Linked DNA regions of Caenorhabditis elegans. The protein of the gene in region 2 interacts with the protein of the main gene of each other region in a pairwise test. Each region holds a gene or a part of one and is shown on either strand. Other genes may lie near its edges.

Region 1 (6,601 bases), on a different chromosome or scaffold from region 2:
CAATTCTCCACATGGTTCTCTTGTATGGCGATGTTTGGGTTGATACATTTTTCTGTTTCAATGCGGCTGCACATTGTTTAATCAATTTTTCAATGTCACGGAATTATAGATCAACTGTGATGAAAGCGTTGCATATCGAGAATTGATGGTTCGATTTTTATTTGGGGCATTATAACTTTATATTCCGGACCATTTGTAGAATCGCTTTCAATTGTATCTTGTTTTTTTGATAAAACCCCAATTTCTTCCATAGTCTGCTAATATATACGTGATTTGCAACTACGATTCAATTCAAAAATATTATGTTTTTTCGAGTCCTGAACTTTTTCTACCTTATACACTAATTTACGATATAAATTCCTCCTTCCTATTTTTCTAGAGTTTAGAGGTTCGTAGATCCACTTCAATTAATTTGAACTATTTTCTAGAATATAATTTTGCATTCAGTGGACAAAGTCAAAAACATAGCTTCAGATCAGGAAACTATTGAGCAAAAAATATTTTCCTTAATAGTATTTTGTCGTAGTAGTCTTGGTGTAAAGGTGTGGTAGATTCAGTCACGTGGTGTCAGGCTGTCCCATTACGGGTTGATCTACGAGAAATCAGGAATTTCTCGAGCATAAACATGCTCTCAACCATGCGGAATCTGCTGAGAAGTCTGCGTCTAAATTTAAGAATTTTTTGTAGATTGTACCGATATGGGACACTCTGACACCATGTGGTCAGTTCCGTCAAGTATACAAATGAACCAAAAATACTGAATATTTATTTTTTAATCACTAGCATGTTTCACACTTTTTGTAATTTTCAGTATGTTCTTAAAGTTAGTTTAAACTTTATCACATTAAGCATTCTTGTATGTTCGAAACCCTACAAATCAATTACAAATTAATTTAATGTAATCCAAGTTAAAAGTTTTTTGGTCAACCTTCAAAACTATGAAATGTGAAAACTGAGTCATTTCTACCGTTGTGAGCATCATATAGTGATTTTAAAAGTTTTTACTATTGGCGTTTCACCAAATTTAAAATGGACTTTTAGTCGTTGAACAAAGTTGATATTTACAATAGAATTATCTAAAAAGAACCAATTATATCCTTTGTCGTTGATCTATGATTTCATTTTAAGTGACAATTATTGAGTCAGTGAGCAAAGTAACAATTTGTAACGACTATATTTACTCGAACTGTGTTTCTATTTACTTCTTGTAGACAGTATATAAATGTCTTACAAGAATCACTCTGAATTTTGTGTTCACAATGTTTTCAATTACATATATTGCTCTTTCTGTTTTCTTTTTGATTCATTGCTCCGATGCTTTACTCAATGTTATCGGAAGCACTCAAAGTGTTACTGTAACGGGAAAATTGGTTTGTGAAGGACAGCCAGCCAGTGGAGTTCTCGTGAAGATGTATGACGATGGAACGAGTAAGTTATTATTTGGAAGAACTGTTTTGAAACAATTGATTTTTTCAGTATATGACTCGAAATTAGGTTCGACGACCACCTCATCTGATGGAACATTTTCTGTTTCTGGAACATATACAGATATTTTAACATTGGATCCAAAAGTGAATATATATCATAGTTGTAATTACAATGGACCATGTTCAAAGAAAGTGACAATCAATATTCCTGATTATGCAGTTGCATCTGGAAGTAGCTCGACTGATAATTATGATATTGGAACTTTGAACTTAGCTAATCAGTTCAGTGGAGAAACCACTGATTGTATCCATTGAATGTGTACTTCCTAATAAATTTGTTTCTAGAATAATTGAAATGGGACATCTAGGAAGAGTGAATTCAGTTCATTTTTAAAATTGTAACTAAAAAAGCAGTAGCGCAAAAAATGCTACAAAAAATGAATAGAATGAGTGGGGGCACCTGGAAGAAGAGAAAAAAGAGGATCTAGAGTATTTTTGGAGACAAAAAGGTTCACTTAGTGAACAAATATTCAGAATTGTACAATTTCAACTATGTACAACTATTATCAACCCGGAGCAAAATGTAAACACACGGGTACCTAGGAGGAGAGGGCAAAGAGAGAGAGAGTGAAAAAAGACTACAAAAAAGAGGTCTACACAAAATATACAAGATAATTGGGAGGGGGGGGGGGGGGTGGCAGTAAAATTTAGAGATTTTCAGACTAACAATTATCATTGGGTGCACGGAAATACTTTTAATACTTCTCCCATTCCTTTGGTTTTTCCTTGACGAAGAATAATTGGTGATCCTTCACGAATGACTTCTGGTTGATAGGCGAAACACATTTTAACTACAGCCCATTTTCCTGGACGGATGCAGTCTGCATCGTCGATGTGAGTAATAATGGCAGTTGTACAGACACTTCCGATAAACACTGAAAAAGTTCATAAATTATTTCAGAAAAAATCAAAACTGAAAGTTGAAATGAGAAAAAGTACTCACCTGTGGCTTGAAATCCTTCGCATATGTATTTCGTCGAGTGACACAGCAGTAAAAGATTGGCAGTGAATTCGTAACAAACTGGTGGTTGATGATCGATTTCAGCAAGAACCATTCCCTTTAATGAAAATAATCAATATGTTTCACATTTCGAATGATTTTTCTGTGGAAAAAAATACTTACCCTTCTTAGACTGACACCGTCTGGAAGATTCAAGGATATCGATGCAGCTTCACCAGGATTAACACATCCTACGGCTTGCCGGCTTCTTCGAATCGACCCGACAGTAATTTTTTCAAAAGTTCCATCTTTCATGGGTCCAACAAGAACATCTGCTCCTTCATGCAATTGTCCTTCAGATAGCATTCCTCCAACTACTTGTCCAACATGAGGCACATTATATAGTTCCTCGATTGTGAAAAAGGCTGGGAGTCCAACTAGTTGAATACGTGACTCTGCAGTTCCAGCTGTAGAAAGGCAATTGAGAAGTGTTCTGAGACAACGAAAACCTTCTCCGCTCACTGAACTAACAGCAAGAACTGGTACGATACTACCAACGCAGAGTTCTTGTGCCGCCTTCACTGCGTCTCTTTTAGTTTTCACTCTTTTCTCGCGAGCTGTCATCCCTGCTTTCGCAACAAGATTGGAAACATCTTTGATGATTTTCTTAAGTCCTTGTCGATCGACTAGATCCATTTTTGTGATCAGTACAAACATTGGAATGTTTAAAGCGGCAATTAATCCAAGATGTTCACGAGTGGCCCACGTGATTCCTCGATCGGCGGCTACAACAAGGCAAGCGAAATGAGGAGTGTATCCGGTTAATCCATGAATTGTCGTTTTCTGATATTTTGCGTCTCCAGCCAGATCGATAAGTGTTACAAGTTTTGAAGACTTCTCCACCATTTCTTCGAGACTATTTTGTGCATAATTGACTAGCTGAAAAAAGTAAAAATTAGATATTTATAAATAAATTTAAAAAAATCGAATTTAAGTTTTTCAAATAAAATTTTTCTAAATTCATTGTTTTTGTATTCAAAAGTGGAGTAGAATCATTTTGAAATTTTGTTTTGAATGAAAAAAAAATTGACCGTAATAATCGATTTTAATTGATTTTAAAAGTTATAAAATCTTTCTAACTTTTTAAATTTTTATTTTTGATAATTGGGCGGGAATTCAAAAACAGATTTTTATTTTTTTATTTTTGCAAAATTGAAAAAATTATAAAAATTTTATGATTTTTTGAAACAATTATATTCGGTATTACCGTCCATTTTTTTAATTATTTAAATCAAAAACCCTAATAAATAGGATCCAACTTTAAAATTTTCAATAAAGAAATTATCTACAATTTAATCAGTTTACTGTTTTTTTTTTTAAATATTTTCAAGCATATTTTAACCCATTCTGAATGTTTCGAAAAATTTCTAACCTTTCCACGATTATCGAAGCCAATGACATCATTACAGACAGAACTGGTTTTTCCTGTTCGCACTTCGTGTGGAAATCTGAATATTCCAATTCTTGCTTTTCCGTTTCCGTCGTCCAGACAACCCTGTGTTAACACTCCACACAGTGTTGATTTTCCGACATCGCATCCTCCAACGACAGCAAGACGAACTTCGATGAATTGCTGGCTTTCAGGAACCTTTCGGACAAGTACCTAGAAAAATAATTTCATTTAGATAAAATATGACTCAATAATAATTACCTCGACTACAGTTCTCCGTGAATTTGATCCCTTAACAGTAACGTCTTTCTCGGTCAAAATAACCATACTCGCCCCAAGAGCTTGGGCCATCGTTCTCAAGGTCCGAAGTGAATCATTCAGTTCCTCGTCTGTTAATCCAGACATTATTCCACCATCCTCAACGCCAATTTCATAAATAGCCTCTCCTTGACCCTCACGAAGACGCCATTTCATTTGAGTGATCAGATGTTGTATACGAGATGTCGTTGGATTTACTAATTTTGCTTTGTACTCAATATTTCCAAGCTCCGTTTCAGGTGGCAATCGGTTTTCGGTGTCGGAGTCGGAACATTCATCGTTAGTTGGCAGTGAAGAGCTGAGAAGTGTTGGTCCATTTTTAGAGTCCGATATTGATTGTCGTCTGTAAAAAATAATATAATATACTACCTTAAATGATTTGGCGACATTAAATAAATTGAATTGATTTTATATCAATGTTTTAGAATTGATTTATTTTTTATAAGGAATTTAAATAAATGAATTTTGATTTTAGAAATAAAATTTTCAAATGTTAACCACACAATATTTATCGTACTCACCTAGTTTTGTAAAGTGGCTGATGATTCTGCTCATCGCAGAAATGTGAAATCATAAAATCCATAGTGAGATTGAGTTGTTTATTATTTTATGAAATGAGATAATCAGTTGGATAACTACTGCTCACGCCGTATTCGATCTATCATTCGATTCTCCGATTCTGGAACATCAAATTTTAATCATAGGGAGAGAGGTTCGGGTACTTGAGAAAAAAATGTCGTGTTTCGAGAGGTTTTGAAAAGTCAGTTGTTAACTGGTTCGGTCAACATGTAGAGATTGTAGAGAAATATGAGAACTTAGAGAATTGACGTATGAAGAGAAAAAAGTGGGAAAGGGGAGCCGCTGTTGTTTTCGAAAGAAGAAAATAAGACAGAAAAAATCGGAGAGGAACATAACAACAAGTTAAGTTGACTTTTGAACTGGAAATTTGTCAATATTGAAAAAAGGAACAGTGAGAAATATCGATTTCCACGTCGCTCGATTCTATGAAAAGAAATTATGCACACACAAGCTTCACAGTGAGCATGCTGAATGATTGAGCAAATACATGAGAGAATAAGAGAGGAATGAGATGAAAAGAAGCGTTCAAATCAAAAGAAACCAGACAAAATGGCGATTTTTTACGGGAATATGAACCTACTGATTGGCAGTGGACAGCTGGAAGAATAAGAAGATACTGAAGGAAGGTTGAAGTTGAAGCTTGGAAGACAGATGATGAGAGAGAGGAAAACCTGTTTCTTTTTGATTACGATCGGACGGAAATGAGAAGGAAGTAAGTGTTTTCACACGTAGGTGGGCATTGAGATCTTTGAAGGTGCATTCGACAGGTTAATAATCATTCTAAATACCAGGTGACAATGGAGGATACTTTTAAACAGTAAATATATTGGAATAAAACATAAAAGTTAGTCTTACTCAGAATTTCTAAAATTTCAGCCTTCTGGAACGAAAGGTAAAATCATAATAATAATACAAGTGGGGCTGTTAGTAGCCCTAAATACAAGTAAAATGACCGAACACAGCCGTTAAAGAATGTTGCAGAAAATTGCGAAATATTTCCTTACTCTTAAGAACAACATTCGATGTGACGCAATATGATGCATTTCCTTAGACAAAAACGTTCAGTTCAAAATAAACAACAATAAAACCGTTTGTACGATTTCTAGAATACGAGTTTATCAGTTGTTCGGAAAATATCTTATCAATCGTTTGACTGATGTTTTTTAACCATGTGAGAATTTGAAAAAAAATTTCATGATTGCCAAAAATTAAAATAAACAGGAAGCTTTTACCGAGTTTTCGTGATTTTCAGAATGAAGAAATTAATATGAAGCTCAAAATCAAAAGCAGAGGGAAAAGAAAAAATCGAAATCTTCTTTCGGTTAAACAACACGCGCTTGCGGAACTTCGGAGCATCGTATTTTGTTTTTGCGCTCTATTTTTGAATCGGAAACTGTTTTTTTGTCAGTTTTCGAAATTGTTTTTTTTCTGTTTTTTTACTTCATGCAAGAGTTTAACTTTACGCAAAAATTAATTAAAAATACGCAGAAGGCCCACTTTACACAGGAATTAATTGAAAATACTCAGGAATTTCACTTTACTTAGTCCTTTTTCCAGAGTTTCCAACGGAATCAATATATTAATTTAATTTCGCAACATTTTTCTTTGAATAAACCTATTTGCAAATGAGAATGTTTCAGATATTTGCTTATCGAAGCCTGGGAATTGCTTATGGCGAAATTTTTACGCGTAAGTCTGCAAATTTATTTTTACTCTGAAAATACTAAATTTATGAAAATTTCAGCTACACATCAGAGGAATTCGAAGTGTCGGTGATGAGGACCACGATGTTCACAAAATTGATTTCCTCTCTCCGTGCACACTAAT
Region 2 (10,592 bases):
ACTGCCTTTTCAAACGGTAGCTCAGTTGTCAGTGTTCCACCAAGATCGTTTGATGAGAAATCAATGCTCCAATCTGCCACTGGAACTCGTACGGATTCGGCTTCTTTCAATTTTTCTAGTGTTTCTCTTGGTGAGATAGTTGAGGATGCACTTCATACTGCAAAGGATGTTGGTTAGTATTATTTACTGTTTCTTCTAGTTTTTAAAAATCTCAGCACATTGGGAAAACCGTTTCACTATCTTATTGACCAACTTTTTAATTTTCTTTCCAGCTGAAACTCAAGCTTCTCATTTGTTTGATGCTCTTCAAAACTCGGCTCAGAAATGCGGAGTTGCTCTTAGTGTAAGCGAATACGGTAGTTATCCTTGCAAATAAATTAATTTCAGGACCTGATGACCGCTGTCTCCACCAGCTCATATAGTCTTGAAGAGACTTACACTTCTCAACCAAAGTCTCCTGCCCATTAAATTTTTTTCTATTCGACTTTTTGTATTCAATGCATTTTTATTTATTTTTATAGTATCAGTAAAGTTTTAGAGTTGGAGTCATTTTTTTGGCAATCTGTTTCAAACAATGATACCCGCAGAACATAATACAATTTTAACGCTTTGTTACAAAATCTACTGTTTCAAACTGTTGATAAGTATAATAGAACCTTGTTTATGATAGTTAACTTCATAAATCGAATAATCGAATGCTTATTTTTCATTACCGGAAATTATTATATCAGAGGGGAAATAAATGGATTTGTGAAAAGAAGTAAAGCAGAGAAGCCAGTGGAAAAAGATAAATTATATTGATTCATAGTGAGAAGTACTTGTTAGTACCGACGAGACGAGTTGAGTGAAAATTCGTTGATTCGGACTTTTTGCTCAATTCCGAAACGGAAGATGCACTGGCCGCGGGTCTCGTAGATGGCAGCCTGGAAATAAAAGGTGTTCCAAGAAAAAAAGTGACTTGTCATTGTATAATAGAACTTAAAAATTGTGTAATACAAAATAAATTATCCGCTGTTTCAAACCTACTATTAAAGATTTTGATATAAATTAAAGAATTTGATATATTAAAGATTTTGATATAAAAAATTGGTCAATCCGTCATATGTATCAAAGTTTTTTTTTAATGAACTCTATACTTTTTCATATTGTAGACAAAGTAGGCGAAAAAATTTGAAATCTTAGTGAGCTATTCGATTCGATATACTTACAGGTCCATCAAAGCGGAATCCTTTAGCTGTGTAATCAGGCATTCCTCGGATGATATCACAGATATTTCCTTCGATAATTGTGACCAAACTGTTGTTTTCTTTCAAGTTGGTTACTGAAAATTAAATTCGATTACAAGGGAAATTATTTGTGGGTATATTGCCTGGTTACCTGGTAGTGAAATAGTTTTTCTGTTCTTTTTTCTATTCAAGCTTTTCAAATTGGAAGTTTAATTTTTCCCTGTTTTTACACACCTTCATATATTTTCTTCCATTGAATAATTTCAAAATGTTGTTTCCGTTTATTAGTGGTGTAGCACTAGAAGTGGAAGTGAAACAGTTGAATAGTCAAGGACCCTTGACAATTTATTCATTCATTCTCTTGCCAATTCAATGAAAATGTGTTAAATTTGCATGAAAAAGGAAAGAACTCACTTGTCACCAAAACTTTGCCACTCAGACGGTTTTCGATGCGGAAATCGCGAGTTACCTGGAAAAAAGGGTTTTTGACGGATGATGGGGTCGTATAAAGTTTTTTAAAGTTTAGTGACTTGACTAACACAAACTTATCAAAACTTCTCGGAAAGCATAATAATTTATTAACTGTTTGAAACGGCAAAACATTGTGAATATGTAGTAGGAATTTTAATTTGATTCAAGAAATCTTACATTAGACATTACATACTTAGAGTTTCTAAACAGTTGCATTCCTTTAAATTTTAGTCAGTAAAATACCTAATTACCGTTTTTTTTTGTTGCAATTTCACTTGCCTTATTATTTTTCAATTCAAATTTCTATATCTGTAAAAAATTAAGCTTTTGAAAATCATTACTTTCTATGAGCTAATTGAAACAGTATCAAAGAGGTTTTCATTGCTGAAAATTTCAAATAGGAACTATTCATCGATGAGAGCTTTCCATATAAAAATTTAATCTGTTCAGCTGATGTAAGTTTTCATAAAAATTTTCTATCTCGAAAATGGATTCATCATTCAATTTTTGCAACCAATTTTTTAAAAATCCTTTTAGAACATTTCTAATTACTGAAAAAGTAGTTTGAAGGTTTAAATTTGATTCCATCTCATTCAAACAATTTAAAAACTTACAATATCTTCAATAATCACGAGTTCAGCAACAGTTTCTGCACCTGGTGGCACCTTAACACAACTATCAACACCCCATGTCAATTCTTCTTCAGAAGTATTTTCTCCAATATGATTCAACATAACTTCTGTAGTAAATCCAGCATTTGCTTCCACAACTTCACAAGGAGTTTTCAGTTTCAGTGAAACTTCTGCTCCACGGCAAACTCCCTTTTCGATGATTACAGTTGAAGAGCTGCGAGTGCATCGTTCCGTTTTGAACGAATATTCTTGCTCGCGTTGAGTTGTATTCGTGAATGTCGTTTTGAAAATCACTTTCTCATCTTGTTTCTGAAAATTGAATATTCTTGTTGAGGTTGAGAGAGATGTGAATAAAATTTCTAATAACCGCTATTTCAATATTTTTCATTAGAAACAGTAAAATTTTTCTTTTTTTTAAATTTTAAAATCAAATTTCTCAATAATATGGAAGTTATTTTTTGTTCAGGAAACTTTGAAACGCACATACTGAAATTTGTATATTTTTATCGACAGTAAATTTTTCTAAAAGTTTTGATTCAAAAATTAATGATATGCCAAACCTATTCCAGTATAAAACTTTAAATGTAATATTTTTAATTTAAAAATAACTAACTGCATCGACAACATTCGGCTTTGCTCCAAGGATTGTGTATGTTGGCTCCGAGCATTCTTGAAACAGTTTTGTCCAGTTGATATTGTACTGAAAAATTGTTGGGATTATACGGAAATGCCCATGCGAGTTCTTTAAAACAACTTTCTTAAAATTATAACTAGAATTGTGAAAAGTGATTCAAAGACTAGATGTTTATTAAGTAACTCTCGTTGTAGTTAAAACGTTTCAAAACCACCATGAAACATACTCCAGTTGTATTTTTTAAATACTGTTTCGCATTTCCCTCAAAATATTCTTTCTCGCTAGGAATTCTATACCCTCAAGGTGTGTAACTCGTAAATCAAGAAAGCGGGTGGTATGTGTGACTGTTGTTCCTATACACACACCCTGAGCCTTTGACACCTTCGTGCCGACTTCATTTACATTTACACTTTGGGAGCATTGTTGATGATGAGGTTTTTGAGAAGTTGGTGAAGATGAGAGTAATAGTTGATTCTGATTTTTGTTCGTTTTCGAAAACGCTAGGAAAAGTTTGCAGATTAATTTATCTCGTTATTGGAGTCAAAACAAATATGAAGTTTTAAAACCATGTTGAAAATGATTTTTTGTCATTTTTTTATTCAATCATAAATATTTTAATTTGATTTTTTTTTTCAAAATTATATTCAATCATTACAGTCCATTTTTTACCATTAAAAATATATATCAACAACAAATATTTTTGGCGCCTCTCCAGCCAGCTTTAAGTTCTAGAAAACTGTTCAAAAAAAATTGTAGAAAACTGCCGATAATTCGGTGAAAACCCTGACAATTTCCTTTTGCTGGGTACTTTTTTTTTGAGTTTTATAGCACAACGAGAATAAGTTTATACAGAAAAATTAAAGAAGTTTTAAAAATTATTATTACTGTTTCAACATGTTTTCATCAGCTTTGTACTTCAGCCAGGAAAATGTTGAAATTGCTTCACAAGATTCTTCCCTTCAGATTTTAGTAATACATCCTATTTCCCATTCTCTATATCAATTTATTCACTTTGGCGGGACCTCATTGTATTCAAATAAATGAAACCATATGTCGGTTCCCTTGGGTGATTTTTGTCATTCTTTCTTTCTCTCTTTCCCTTTTCAATTTCTCTTATCCCGCATGAGCATTCTTCAATTCATTACCCCCTTTTCACTTTGAACGGATTAAACACACACATGGGACCTCCCAAAGGCACAACCTATCAATTTTCATGCTCAATTTCCTAACGGAGGTGCCAATTTCCTCTTTCCGTAATTGGATCGATGGTGACAAACTGAGCATAATGAATGGAAATGCTCACCGATAAATATTTCTTCTTGATTTTTCCCTCCGCTTTGCTTTTTGTCACATCAAACATTGTCTTTGCCCAATTGGTAACAACTTCTTCCAAATCTATCAGGTCGGATTTTGCGGCGTCCTGGAAAAACTCAATTTGTTTTTATAGGGTGCAATACATGCTATAAAATTTTTTTTTCAAAACTTTTCATTAAATTGAAAATTAAGAATTCAAATGGGTTAAAGCGGTAGTTTCTGAAATCAAAATGTATACAAAACTTGATGAAACAGTCCATTTAATTTTTATAAAGGTTCATTTCTTACAGGTGTTTCTAACAGAATTAACATTCCTGAACATTTTTAACTTTTGCTCTTTCATTAGAATCGCAGAGAATTCGAAAAAAGGAGCAAAATGTAAACTTACAAAAAATAAAATTATTATCAAAATATGTTGAAACTGTAGAAAAATGTAAAACTTGATAATTTAGCAAATTAACAATATTTCATGTTTAATAGATTAAAAAATTTTTTGAGTATTTTTTTTCTTATTTGCAACAAAAATTGAATGATTTTTTTAAGAGAACGATTTCTCAAAACCTTAAAAATCGAATTCCAAACTGCTTTTGGGCTCTTAATATATGTTTAAAATTAATTTTATCACAAATTGCATCCGTGAATCAATGAAACTGATTATCATATTATGATAAAAACTTGTTGAGACAGTACAAAAAAGTTGTAAATTTGAAATTCTGTCAATGTATTTTTACACATTTTGCGGCATATATTTTTGCTGATAAAGCGAGCGAACAAAAAATAATGAATTCGTAAACTTTAAATGTGCTCATAAAATAACTAGGCTCATGAAAAAAATGCAAACACTCTTGGAAAAATATCAAACAATCTGTGTATTCGGTGACTATTTCAGCTTAGAGATTATATTTTTTGCAAGAATACGGATCAAAATTGAATTGTTATGTTCAGATGAGCAATAATTTCATGTTCAATCAGTTAAAAATAATTAATTAAATGATCCTTTTAATATTGAGGTATTTCACGTTTTTCATATTTTGAAGAACATAACTTTTAAAACTGCAAAGATAAAAATATACACCTCAAAAATACAAAACTTATGAAAAAATGTTGAAACTGTAAATTAATTTCGAATAACACAAATTCGCTTGTTTACAGAATCCCACAAAAGTATACGTAAAAAATAAAAACTATCTTCACAAAGTTATAAACTTTAATTAAATAGTGTTGATACAATATTTATAACACATTTCAAGTGTTCAAATTTTCAGCACAAGCTGTATTCTTCCGTTCACTTAAAGAAAAAAATATATGCATGAATTAATGAAAGCTTAAAAAATCGCTGAAACTGTGAAGAAATTTTAGGTTTCGCTATTTTTAATATATATTTTCAAATTAAGAATTAAATTCAAATACTTACATTTCCTTTCACAAAGCTTTGTGGCTCATTTGCTCTGTTCGATTTCAGCATTTTCTCCTGTTCTGGACTAAAAGCCGGTGATTTCTGTGGAGATATGCAACCTGGAATTTATTGATCATTAAGTTTTCAGAATAGATGAGTCAGAAACATATTTCAAAATATTCTGAGTCTCTCTTCTCTCTTCATTTTTCAACCGAATCAATAGTAAATTGCGCGTTGCAATTCTGCGTCTAAATTTTTTGAGCGCTATTTCACTAGAATGCACGAGAAGACGGAAAAACGTCGCCGCTCTTCTCTGGCTCCCCTCAACTACCGTAATCCACGTTTATTTTTCTCTGCGTCTCAGAATCTCTAGTTCAGAGGATTCAGGCACATGAAAACGTGGGAAACAAAATCGGAAATGTATATGTGAAACATGGAAAAGGAGAGAATTTCGGAATAATTAGAACTGGGACTGGAGAGAGAGAGAAAGGTGAAGGCTACAATTAGGCAGGTATTCAGGTAAAGAAGAAGAAGTAAGTGAAAGTTTCCTATTTGAGAGAAGGGAGAACTTATATTTCTTACTAAAGCTTTTGAAAATAGTACGGTAATATATATTTTTCTCAGCAAATGAAATAAAATTTCAGTGAAACAGAAATTTTTTTAAATTCCGCTCACTTTTTTCAACGTTTTTCAAATATTTGTTTCCAAACATTTAAAATTGTTGTTATGGTAATTGAATTTTTTCTGAAACTGTAGAAAATGTATTATAAAAAGCAACTCACTTTCATCACTCATCATAGCAAAAATTTTTGCGTTTCTTATGAAAAGCTCTGCTCATTTTAACCTATACTGTTTGTTTAGTTTTTTTCACGGTTTTTTTTGTTTTAAAGTTAAAGCCAGCAATACTGTTGTGAAATTTTCCAACTTTCCTAGAAGACATCATAATGTGAAATTTTTCGAAAAAAAATTACAGTTTCATTCATAGAATATCATTTTATTTTTTGAAATTAATTCAATCATCTCGATGTGTGGGATCGACTGGCCGAAAAATTTCAAGAACATTTTGAAAACTTCAAAACCTTCCTCTTCACTTCCACTTTTGTTTAACGTTGTTTATAAATCAGATTACTGTACTCTGATAGAAAACGACACAGAGAGAGAGAGAGAGTATAAGAAAGAAGAGACGCAAAGAAATATTGCGAGGGATTTGGCACGGTACAATTGCAACGCGGTTCGGTTTGCCCTCTCACAAACAATTGAATTTATAAGCTCATGCCGAGAGAGAATAGAGACACACAAATCACTTTTTAAATCAATTTTTTGAAATTCCAATGATGATTCATGATTACACTATCCACTGTTTCATGATGTTTATAAAAACTCGTAGGTTTTATTTAACATATTGAGTAGTTGATGTAAAAAGTTTCTGCAGTTGAATAAAAGAAAATTACACCAATTGAGTATTATATATTTAGGTTAGTTGAGACGTTAAAAAAAGTTCTGCTCCAAATAAAACATTTTTTGGTTAAAATTTCAATGAATGCAGACACTGTGCGCTTAATTCACATAAAAAAAATTTTAAATTTAAAATCAACAAACTTACTAAACATTTTTTTATCGAAATTGATTTCCAAAAAAAATTCGATGATTCAGACGGGCAATCGGGGGACACACAAACAGGAGGAGTCTCTGTGAATCGAAGCCCTCCGCCGGGTTTCACATGACGACTCCGCCTACTTTGTATGCCTGCCAGCCAATCGTCGATGACTTCTTTGCCTCTTCTTCTCTTACTTATTTTCATTTTTCCAGGGATTCAAGCTGCTCGAGGGGGCGATGTTTTTATTTTCCCTGTAGAATTGATTGAGATGTATTTTTAAAAAATTAATAGTAAAAAAGAGGAATTACTAATACATACTTTAACCAATATTCGAAAAGCTAAGTGAATATAATTTTCGTATTTTTTTTTACTGTTTCAAAATTAGAATATAATTGAAGTAATTTTTGAGAAAATAATTCGATTTTTGTAATCATAATGAGTAATGCTCAACAACAAGTCGTTTTGTATTTAAAATAATTTCTGAAATATTAGCTAAAGTGAATCCATCAGCGATTGAGAACGGAAAAAAAACAATTCGAACTATTTTCGGAATTTTTTTTGCTGTTTCAGATGTTAAACTAAAACCATTAAAACAAATGCCAAGTTTGATAATTTCTTGTAAACACTTTTCATATGTTTCTAATACGTTTCTAATATATATTTAAAAATATGTATTGGTAAGCAAATAATAGTTTGGGGAATTTCCTTCATTCGAGTTTGGCCAAAGTTTTTTACCGAAAAATCGATTTTCGTAATCTTTAGTTCAATTGTAAGATTTTTGACATACTACATTGTTTTTATTTATCAATGAAAAATTATTACAAAAATTGGTTTTTATAAATTGTCGTTTTGTTTTCATATATTATAGGTCTTACGTCCCACAAGTCCTGAAAAAATTAGGAGAACACGGCGAACAAGATGTATTTTAAGCTCTTTCCGGAAAGGTTTGAGTTTTAATTTTTATAGTTTAAAAGTTCATTCAACCACTTTATGAAACATTTGAATTTTTGAATGTGTTTTTTTGAAAACTTTCTGAAACCTTCTAAACTATATTTGCGAGGAATTTTTTTTTACAATCTATCCCTTCACACTTTTTACTGTCACCACACACCCAAAAAACCGTGAAATTTATGAGTCAGAACACAACGACGGAAACATGGAATGGGACAAGGACACCAACGAACACGCAATCCTGAAAAAAGTTAAAAGTAATATCTTCAGAACCTCCCTGAAATTTATAAAGAAACTGAAACATGATATGTGATAACTTTGCAAAACAATGTGAAAATTTTAAAACAAAAATACGAAAAACCAAAAAAAAAGAGTGAAAAAATAGTGGAAAGATTATTCAAGCTTTGAAAAAATGAAGCGTATTCATGAAATTTATAAAACGGTCAAAAACTTTAACCAACGTTTTATTTCAATAATGCCTAAAAGCATCGAAAAGTTATCCATTTTTTAATTTACATTTCAAACGTATTCTTCAAAAAAAATTTCTTAACGTGTGTAGCTCATTAAATGGTTACTGAAAAGTGACCTATCATGTCTTGGAAGGGTTTCAATCAAAAATATCAAGAACATTTCTACTAGAAAAAAGTGAAAATTATGGCCCAAATTAATTTAAACATATTTATGAAAATAGTGAAACGGTAATTTTTTCGACCAATTTTTTGTTTCAGTGGCGCCAGGATATTTCAGACTCACAAAAAAATGACCCAACATCAGGAACACCTTTGGAGTTTCATTTGAAGTTTTTTTTGACATTTGACAACATCCATAGACAATCATTTGATTAGCGACATTGGCATATATCAAGAACCTGAAAACTGTCATGTTAAACACTGAAAAAATAGTTGGCCTAACCATCCTGAATTTTATCAAAAACCTGAAACATTTTATTTAATAGTTTTTTATACAAAAATCAGTGACGTCGTTCGTTTATCAATTTACTAAGAAATATTTTAGAAAGATACCAATATTTCAATTTTAGTCAATTATTTTCGCATTCTCTATCGAACAGTTGTCATTTTAAATTTCAACTTTAAAATGTTTATTAGTAGTAAAACAATCTCATAGATTTTCATAAAAAATTTTATGATAAAATAGTGAAACGGTAAAATTTTTCAACAAATTCCATTTCAACGTCACCAAAAAAAATTTAGATTTTCAATATGTGATCCAGTATCGGGAACAACTTATAAATTACGTTTTGAATAAATGTTATGTTTCAGACATTTAATAAATATACCATAGTCAACTAAAATTCTAAACAGAATGATAAACCACCACAAAATTTATCAAGAACCTGAAACTGTTTTCAAAAAAAGTGAATGTTTTTTTTTTTTTTAACTTTCATTCTATTAATCAACCAAAAAACTCCTAAGCGTTTTGATATTTGAAAGTTGTTCCAAATAAATACCGAGTATTTATATAACAGTTCAAGGATTGAGAGCTACTTTCATGCTCAGTATACGTTTTTTTTCAAAGAGCTTAAACTCCAAAATAAAAGATTTATCGTTCGTTCCACTGTCCTATCAGTTAGAATCAAATCATTTGCATGTTTACTGAACTTATGAAACGGTAAAATTTTTCTGCCGATGTTAATGCTGCCTGTCAATGTCAAATCTTCAAACAAGGGACCACATATCGGGAATTTTCATTTCAAATATATTCTACCACTCGGCCGGCAACAATCATAATAATAATAATTGAGCAAAGCAAACATGTCGGCTTTTTCTCCTTCACAACCAAAGAAGGGAACGCGTAATAGAATGCGGTGTGAAATAATACATTCTATATATGTTTCTGTTCTCCCCTCATTCCCACTCTGTCCTCATTTCTACCTGCTTGTCGAAAACCTGTCAAGCTCCGTTTATTTGTGTTGGCTCATAAATCTACTTTCTCTCCAAAGAGCAATTGAGCCAATTATAACATTTATGCTCATGCTGGAGAGGAAAAAGCTTTTGGAAGGGAAATCTCCCATGGGGAAAAGGTGAAGAAGAAGAAGAAGTGATCAACAAATTAGAGACAATTTTAGGATTTAGTAAGAGAAGAGGAGGGAATGGAAAGGATACGTCAATTAGCGGATTATGAAGAATGGGGCATCAGAAGAAGAAGATGAAGAGATTTGAGAGTTTTGGATGAAAAATTGGAAAAGGGATTGAATAGATACGAAGGTTAATCTACTGCAGTTCTTAAGGTTTTTCAAAAGGGGACGTTTAAAATAGTGTGCAATGTATATTGAAAAAGTTCATTATAAATGCAATAAACCACTGCAATTCAAGCATTAAAAATGTATCCATCCATTGCTGGAATCTGTTGA

The links. Proteins that work in one complex are often made in the same cells at the same time.
Region 1: the proteins of lntl-1 (region 2) and slfl-5 interact in a two-hybrid assay, tested with the Caenorhabditis elegans proteins (2 studies listed by BioGRID).

The regions. Positions count from the first base shown.
Region 1 is NC_003283.11:12,240,171-12,246,771, forward strand, and holds slfl-5 (Tr-type G domain-containing protein), read right to left. Parts: upstream 4,875-6,601; 5' UTR 4,861-4,874; coding exon of another isoform or gene 4,831-4,860; 5' UTR 4,779-4,830; coding exon 4,717-4,778; intron 4,539-4,716; coding exon 4,139-4,538; intron 4,091-4,138; coding exon 3,860-4,090; intron 3,367-3,859; coding exon 2,611-3,366; intron 2,546-2,610; coding exon 2,431-2,545; intron 2,363-2,430; coding exon 2,160-2,362; 3' UTR 1,801-2,159; downstream 1-1,800. Other genes in the region: ttr-22 (Transthyretin-like family protein), read left to right, coding at 1,260-1,428, 1,477-1,742; rad-50 (Zinc-hook domain-containing protein), read left to right, coding at 5,476-5,486, 6,415-6,463, 6,519-6,601.
Region 2 is NC_003282.8:5,799,690-5,810,281, forward strand, and holds lntl-1 (LIN-24 (Twenty-four) Like), read right to left. Parts: upstream 7,405-10,592; 5' UTR 7,284-7,404; coding exon 7,277-7,283; intron 7,098-7,276; exon of another isoform or gene 7,076-7,097; intron 6,711-7,075; exon of another isoform or gene 6,690-6,710; intron 6,382-6,689; exon of another isoform or gene 6,361-6,381; intron 6,281-6,360; exon of another isoform or gene 6,260-6,280; intron 5,793-6,259; coding exon 5,692-5,792; intron 4,919-5,691; exon of another isoform or gene 4,897-4,918; intron 4,384-4,896; coding exon 4,267-4,383; intron 4,012-4,266; exon of another isoform or gene 3,991-4,011; intron 3,917-3,990; exon of another isoform or gene 3,896-3,916; intron 3,546-3,895; exon of another isoform or gene 3,403-3,545; intron 3,142-3,402; exon of another isoform or gene 3,117-3,141; intron 3,030-3,116; coding exon 2,943-3,029; intron 2,683-2,942; exon of another isoform or gene 2,659-2,682; intron 2,639-2,658; coding exon 2,312-2,638; intron 1,775-2,311; exon of another isoform or gene 1,754-1,774; intron 1,696-1,753; coding exon 1,641-1,695; exon of another isoform or gene 1,322-1,640; coding exon 1,209-1,321; intron 1,204-1,208; exon of another isoform or gene 1,183-1,203; intron 1,082-1,182; and 5 more. Other genes in the region: C31H1.1 (DUF148 domain-containing protein), read left to right, coding at 1-172, 273-343, 388-468.